2 linked regions of the Elephas maximus indicus genome follow. The protein of the gene in region 2 binds, or shares a complex with, the protein of the main gene of each other region. Links are inferred from orthologs where the notes say so. Each region holds a gene or a part of one and is shown on either strand. Other genes may lie near its edges.

What was found. The genes of interacting proteins can lie anywhere in the genome.
Region 1: the proteins of GNAI2 (region 2) and P2RY12 are in contact, whole or in part, in a cryo-EM structure (PDB 7XXI), measured with the Homo sapiens proteins. The link is inferred for Elephas maximus indicus from reciprocal best matches to the Homo sapiens genes GNAI2 and P2RY12. Residues at the interface, in NP_002061.1 of Homo sapiens: Arg24, Glu28, Ala31, Arg32, Leu195, Glu319, Ile320, Tyr321, Phe335, Phe337, Asp338, Ala339, Thr341, Asp342, Ile344, Ile345, Lys346, Asn348, Leu349, Lys350, Asp351, Cys352, Gly353, Leu354, Phe355; in NP_073625.1 of Homo sapiens: Phe59, Asp121, Arg122, Lys125, Thr126, Pro129, Phe130, Thr132, Asn134, Pro135, Ile212, Leu216, Ser219, Tyr220, Arg222, Thr223, Arg224, Val234, Lys237, Ile241, Leu301, Cys302, Lys303.

What each region holds. Positions count from the first base shown.
Region 1 is NC_064841.1:8,553,520-8,557,266, reverse strand, and holds the start of P2RY12 (P2Y purinoceptor 12), read right to left. Parts: upstream 2,601-3,747; 5' UTR 2,462-2,600; intron 2,023-2,461; coding exon of another isoform or gene 1,887-2,022; intron 1,366-1,886; coding exon of another isoform or gene 1,256-1,365; intron 1-1,255. Other genes in the region: MED12L (mediator of RNA polymerase II transcription subunit 12-like protein), read left to right, coding at 1,256-1,365, 1,887-2,022, 2,823-2,984. UniProt on the Homo sapiens protein: Receptor for ADP and ATP coupled to G-proteins that inhibit the adenylyl cyclase second messenger system. Not activated by UDP and UTP. Required for normal platelet aggregation and blood coagulation.
Region 2 is NC_064838.1:54,587,832-54,591,578, reverse strand, and holds the start of GNAI2 (guanine nucleotide-binding protein G(i) subunit alpha-2), read right to left. Parts: upstream 2,817-3,747; 5' UTR 2,697-2,816; coding exon 2,579-2,696; intron 1-2,578. UniProt on the Homo sapiens protein: Guanine nucleotide-binding proteins (G proteins) are involved as modulators or transducers in various transmembrane signaling systems.

The sequences.
Region 1 (3,747 bases), on a different chromosome or scaffold from region 2:
TCCTCCTATTAAACTGATGGACATGTGAAAATACCTCCAGCTTTCGGTTTCCACACTATGTTCAAAGTCTGTAGTATGAGGCAAGACCTTCTACTGTTGGCTTTCTCTGACTACTTCCCTCTCTCTCTCAAGCATTTTCTTTTCCTCCCTGCTTTCCTTCCTGTCTGGTCTGACTTCTAGTAGTAGATACTTAGGCATTGGTCTGCCCTTTTCACCAGCCCACCCCGGGAACTGTCTCCTCTTCAGTTTGTGCTAAGAGTACGTTTGAGAGGACTACGGTTTTGAGATGTGTTAGTTTTAACTGTATGTATTTTTTTAAACATCCTTTTGAGTCAATATTTGGTCAAACTTTTCATCAAACTGATCATTTCAAAATAAATTCCACCTCGAGGCTTCACAGAAATTCAACATTTCTCACCCATCGCATATTGTTTTAAATTCTTCCTTTCCCATTGGACAAGTCCAAATGAAGGCTCCTCTGGAGGCTGACTTGCTTGGTGTTTTTGGTGGTTGTTTTTCACCTGATCCCCACATGTGAATGGGTAGATCTGCTGGACAAGCCTTCTGTCCATTCTTAATTCTGTGTTACTGGGTGTTCCAAGTGTTACTATGATAGGAGCCTTAGATTCACTCTTAATCGGACGCAAAGCTGGATATAACCTGTTACATGGTTTTGATCTCTTCAGATTCAGTTAGACTACATTTCTATCATAAAAGTGGAGCTCCTGAAATACTAGCAACAAAAGAAAACCTACCATTGGCATACGGTTTACACCAATGCCATGCCAACCTCCTGGCACTGTGCTTTTATCCCCTTTTGGTCACCTGTATGAACTTCTGCCCATGTGGCCCTAGAATGAAAAACTTACGTTAACCTCCTCCATGTTTTTTTTTAATGACCAACTTCCTATGGTAAAGGAACTAAAAAAATGAAATGGCAAATATGTAGCTAGGAGAGAAAGAACAAAAAACCAAAGCCATTGCCATCGAGTTGATTCTGACTCATAGCGATCCTGTAGGACAGAGTAGAACCACCCCATAGAGTGTCCAGGGAGAGCCTGGTGGATTCGAACTACTGACCTTTGGTTAGGAGCTGTAGCACTTAACTACTATGCCACAAGGGTTTCCAAGGACAGAAAGAAGACAGGATAATCCATAAACTAGAGGTTTTTTTTTTTTTTAACTAATTGAAATCCAGCTACACAAAGTGGCAGGAGTGGTAATGCGATGTTTTTTGTCCTGTTTTCCACGCCAGGTAGGAGGAATGTTTGACACGGTGCAGAGGAGCACCCAGTGGACAACAGACTGGGCTCTCCTGCTCCTTCAGATAATTACTTCGGGAACTGTCGACATGCACACCAACAAGTAGGTTTTCATATTTCACGTTTCTTTTGCCCCGAGTGCATGCCATAAACTTTCATATGTTGTTGTTGTTAGGTGATGTTGAGATTCCCACTCATAGCAACCCCATGTAAGAGAGTAGAACTGCCCCATAGGGTTTCCTAGTAACCGAAAACATCCCTAGTCTTTACCGGAGCAGATCACCAGGTCTTCCTCCTATGTAGCGGCTGGTTGGGTTGGAATTCACCGTTAGCAGCCAAGCACTTACCTGTCACATCGCCAGGGCACCTTAAACTTTGATATAAAAAACCAAACCCATTGCCATCGAGTGGATTCCGATTCAGAGCTACCCTATAGGACAGAATAGAACTGCCCCATAGGGTTTCCAAGGAATGGCTACCAGGGCCCATTGCTGCAAATTCTGCTACATCTTATTTTCTTAGATACTATTACAAACTTTTGTGCTTTGAAGAAGAATGCTCAGTTAATTAAGTGGACCTTGGTTTTGCTTTAAGATGAAAATAATTATTTTCTTTCACCTTTAGTGAACTATTCACAACGGTTCTTGACATGCTGGGTGTTCTAATTAATGGAACTTTAGCCTCTGACCTATCGACTGCATCCCCAGGGGGATCTGAAGAGAACAAGCGTGCGTACATGAATTTAGTAAAGAAACTAAAAGTAAGTTTGTGATCTCCTTATCTTATGAGAAAACATATGGCTTTGTTATAGTGTTTTTGTTTTATTTTACAGCTTGGTAAATTAAGTGTTATTGATTGCATCCAACTTAATAGGATTAATTTTTTTTTAAGTCACAGCTTGCCAGTACCCCAAAATTATAAGCATTATAGTCTTCAAGATTTTTTTTTTTTTTAACAGAAGTATATTCACAACATGTTTAATTTTTTAAAGAACTTGAGAAATCCATGGTCAAATATAGAAGCAGAATGCAAACATTAGATTTAGGCTAAAACCGTGCCTGGACTGGCCCTGGTAGTTGAAAGCCGTATTCATTGAGCCTTCCGAATCTGGTCCATTTGGTAAAGCGCTAACACAGCCTTTGCAATAAATGGTAAACTAACAACAGGAAAAGAAAGGCAATATATCTCGCCTACCTTACCAGTAAAATACCCAGCAGTTCGTTACCTTGTAGTCTGACTGTGAATGCAAGAAAGCTTTCCTTCCACGGTGCAGCTCCTCATGCCTTCTGACTGTGAATTCTACTTGGGATTTTTGTCAGTTCAGCATCACCGATGTCCGTTGTGTGACTCATGTGCCTTTGCATTTGTTCTATTTTCTGCTTAAATAGAAGAAACGAAACATACTCACCCCTGTAATTTGGAGCTGCTTTTCTTAGACCATGTTCAAGGCTAAAGAACACCCCAGCTGTAGAAAAGGAGATGTAGTGTAGGGAACTTCCTTCTTGTTAAGCTTTTGCCTTCGTTGTAATTTCTGCCCTGCTTTTCTCTTTCTGCTTTTAGAAGGAGCTAGGAGACAAGAGGTCCGAAAGCATCGACAAAGTGCGGCAGCTGCTACCTTTGCCAAAACAGACGTGTGATGTCATTACTTGCGAGCCGATGGGTTCCTTGATTGATACAAAAGGAAACAAAATCGCTGGATTTGACTCCATAGATAAAAAACAGGCAAGAGTACATGTTTTTCCCTCACAAAAATATATACCGGCTTATGAACATCTAATACTTTTTGTCTTCCTGAAGGGGACATGAAACATCTCAATTTTGTCGTTTCTCGATATTTCTAAAGCTTTCGCTTCTTTTTAAATGCAGTAACATTATCATATAAATCAGCCACATCTGTGTAGCTCCTCATTTAAAAATTTTACCGGAATTTATGTACATTTCTGAAGCCCACCGAGAACGCTAACTTAAAAAAAAGTTTAAAAAGAAAAAAAAAGCGAAGACCAGTTTTGATTTTACTATAGAATTAGAGGCAGAATCTGTTTAGATAAGAAAAATTTTTATTGATAAAGGTCTTCATGTCACAGGCTATTCTGAGTGAAGAAGTCCCTTCAGTGAGATGGTATTTCATGTTCTAACCGATCAGATAATATGCAACGAACTCTTGTTTTGTTAAAATATTAACTAAGCTTCTGTGGCACGTGAGAGGAGCAGGCAGTCACTCTTTCAATGAACGCTGAGTAATCACAGACTTTGTGCGACCACACTGGCGACAGCAGAGCCCTCCCCTCCAGGAGAAGCAGGAGGCAGTTACAGTGTGGTGAAACTGATGTGTGAGGACTGCACCGCCAGAGCTCCATACATGTACATACACATATACACACACAGGTGAGGAGGAGGTGGTCACAGCAGGGTCTCCAGAAGAAGTGGCACATGAGTCCTTTTGATGGACAAGAGTAGCTGGGAGGTGGGGAAAAGTGTGGTACAG
Region 2 (3,747 bases):
TACCACATCTGCCTCTGCCCCAGTGACAGTGACTGTATATGCCTGCTGGCAGGGCTACCCAGGACAGGATAGAGCCAGTATGTGGGTGGGGCAGCAGGCGGGCTCTGGCTGGGAGGGAAGGCTGGCAAATGCCCAGCCTGAGTCCCGTTGCCTGGACAGTCTCTTCCGCTATGTGGGACAGGTGCCCAGTAGTCTGAACTTGCCACAACTGGGCACCCATTACCATCTTGTACCTGGATAGGGAAGGCTCAGTGGTGACTCCTCCCCAGGCAGTCGTGGCAGATCAGGTCCTCAATTTCAGGTAGAGCTTGGTCTCCCAGACCCTTACAGAGCACCCTCTGCAGGGTCCTTCTAGCTCCCACTTCACACCCTCAACAAGAACCTTCATGAGGCCCTATTTTCCCTGACCTGGGCCCAGGCACTTCTATGGCACTCCTCTGGCTCAAGCCCAGAAAGCCCATTTCACAGAGGAAGCAAAGGCCTAAGGTGCAGGATGCTGGGTTGGATTCCCCAGGCTAAAAAGTGCTAAGCTGGCCCCTGTACCCCTGACTGCTAACATCCCAATGTGGGAGGTGTTGCTGGGTCCCACCTGGCCTGCCCCAAAAGCACAGCTGGGCTTCAAGGGACAAGGTCGGCAGGATGGGGGGCCCTTCCGGGGTCAGGACAGAACAGGCAAGGAGCCCTGTACTCTGCTCCCCCTCTTCGCCCCCCACCGCACCATGACCCAGCCCAGCAGTCTTCTCAGCCACCATAATGACCACAATCAACCCAGGAAGAAGCTGGCTAGAGGCTCTGGTCTGGGCACTGGGAGGCAGCAGTACCGGAAGCATCCTCCCCAGGCCCGGCAGGCAGAAGAGACGGGCATTTCACTGCGTCGACACCCACTCACTGCGGCCGCACTCGCAGCAGCAGAGACAGGAAGAGGCAAGCGCCCAACGCAAAGCAGCCCAGGAGGCTGGGCCGCCGCCCCTTCCCGCCCCTTCTCTTCCTCCCCGCGGCGGCAACGGAGCGGATGCCATTTTGAAACCTCGGGGCCGTGCCCCCGAGGCTGGGCCCTCAGGGACAGTCAACAGATGGGCCTATGATGGACAGACACACTGTCTCTCAGCCACAAGCACTGCCTGAAAATCCCAGGTTTTCATAGCCTGGGGACCCCAAGGCGACTGGGGCTAAGGGGCCACACCCCCGCCACACACACACTGTCCAGCCTCCAACGCCACTGCAGGGGCCTCCTTAACCCCCTACCCTGAAAGCACGAAACCGCTGGGCCCCACACCTGCCCCCGTGGCAGGTTAGACAGGGATGCACACTGGGCCCACATCTCGGCAAAAGGCTGGTTCAGATGATCAGAGACATCCTGGCCTACCCTCAGCAGCCCCCAGCTCCTCATTCAGCTGGTCCACTACACTCCCCTTACAGGGCCCCAAGATCCAACAGGGTCACTCTCTCCCAGAGGCTGAGTCCCAGCCCTTCGGCCCTGAAGTGCAGCTTTGGGAAGCCCATCATCGTCAGCAGATTTCCTTGGCCTGCCCGCAGGGGCAGCAATATGTCGGCTGTCTCACCACTTCCACTTCCCCCCACTCCTCGAGCAGCCACCATCTTCCCTGGCCTTGGAGGCGGTCTCAATCCTTACTACGCACACCCCCCCCCCATTCCCCAGACACCCAGGCATCCCTCCCTGGCCTCCCCCCTCGCCGGCCGGGATGAGGCTTAGAAACTTGAAAACATATAGCAAGCGGAACCTTCCGGGAGGCTTGAGGACTGGCCCCTGTCTGAGCCTGGCCCTTGGGGGCCTTGCTCCAGTTCCTTGGGGGTTTGCCTAACCCAGCCTGGGTGGTCCCTAGCCCCTGGGCTCCCTCCTTTCAGCCCAGCCTACCTGGTGCAGGGGAGGTGGAGGAACCTGGGGAAGGCCACTGAGTGGGAGGGGATTTAGGGGAGGGGAAGCAGAGCACTGCAGTAGTGATGCCTGCAAAAGGGGACTTGAGGGTCGGAGACCAGGGGCCTCTGCACATTTGGGAGTTCTGGCTGAAGAGGGCCCATGAGCAGTTACGGGCTCTCACTTGAGAGGTCCCTTGGGGTTGGAGGGTACAGGTGGAGGATATAGAGTCTAGAGTAGAAATGGGACACAGATCGGAAAGGAGTGGATGGGCGCCTGGGAAGGTCTGGGGATGCTCATGCTCAATAGAAATATGGGGGAGCAGGTGGGGAAAACAGGTAAAGCTTGAGGGTAGGGCTGGGTGGGGTTCTGGAAGGATGAAACGACAAGGCCGAGGCTCTGGGGGTATGAGAGGTTGGTCAGCAAGAGTGAATGGTCAAGAAGGGTTCTGGACAGCTGATGTTATCCGACTAGTGCCTGGGTTTGGGATTTGGGGGTCTAGGATTAGTTGGAGGGTCTGATATAGAGTCTGGGCTACCCTCAGAGGTCTAGGCAGACCCAGAGTTTCAGACCCTTATTTGGGAGTCCGGGCTAGGGTTTCAGGCCGGGCCGAGGGGCTCGAAGCCCTTGTCTGGGAGTTTGAAGTCCTTGTCTGGGGAACTGAGTGGGAATCGGGGGTTCCAACGTGGGGCGCGGCCTCACCCAGCAGCAGCAACTTCACCTCCCGCGCCGCCTTCTCGCCGTCTTCCCGCAGATTCTTGTCGATCATCTTGGAGCGCTCGGCCGCCGCCTTGTCCTCGGCGCTCACGGTGCAGCCCATCCCGCTGTCCGCCCGGCCTGGCCGCCGTCCGGCCCCCACACGGCCCCCGGCCCGGCTCGGCCCCGCCCGACCCACTCCGCTCCCGCCGCCGGCCCTCTGCGGGCAGCTCTCGGGTCGGCAGTTCCGAGCGTCTGCGGGCTGCGCCTTCTCGGCCGCGGCGCACCGACGGCGGGGCGGGCCGGGGGTGGGGCCGGGACGAGACGGGCCCGGGACTGGGCCGGGGCGGGTCCGGAGGCGGGGCCAGAGGAGACCTGGGGCCAGTGATTGGCTCGAGGGCAGAGGGAAGGGCGAAGCTAGGCGCAGCCCAGGCTCAGGCCTGGGCTGGAGGCGGAGCCGCGCCGAAGAACAGCACTAAAGGTAGAGCCCAGTCCACGACTGGGCTCCCGGCGGGCTGCCGGCGGGGCGAGGCCCCGGATGGGTTCGGAACCGAGCGCCAGGAGCTCTGAGGCCCGAAGGCGGGGCGGGCGGATCTAGTAGCCCGAGGGTGGGAATCCGGTGCATCTCGCGGGCTGGGCAGGAACCCGCCCTCCGGGCTTTTGCGAGTTGGGTGAGTGGAGTGGAGGAGGCGTGACTTCGTCACTTGCTAAAGTTATTGAATCCAATAAACTTCTTTAGGATCTAAGGAACCCTGGAGCCTCCCTGAACTACGGTTTTCTCAATCTTAAGGCAGGTTTGCCTCTTTCTTGAGTTGCAGGAAAAAAAAAAAAAGGAAAGAAAATAAAGTCAATTACCTTTACACCTTTGTCCAGGCTGTCTCCCTCAGCAAAGGTGCCTTCCTCTATTCACCCAAAGCTTATCCATCCTTCTTTGATCTGCCGGGAGGTGTCCTCCTGCAGGCAGCCATTCTGGACTCCAGCCTTGGACATGGCAACCAGGACTCAAGGGAGAGAGACAGCTGCCATAGTACTTCTGGAAACCTACGTGGCCACGATCTTATGGCCTATCCTTTCCATAGTCTGTCCACCTCTGACCATGGCCACAACCCCAAGGCCTATCCTCCCATGGCCTGTCCCCACTGGGTGGTGGTGGCAGCCGCATGGCCTGTCCGCAT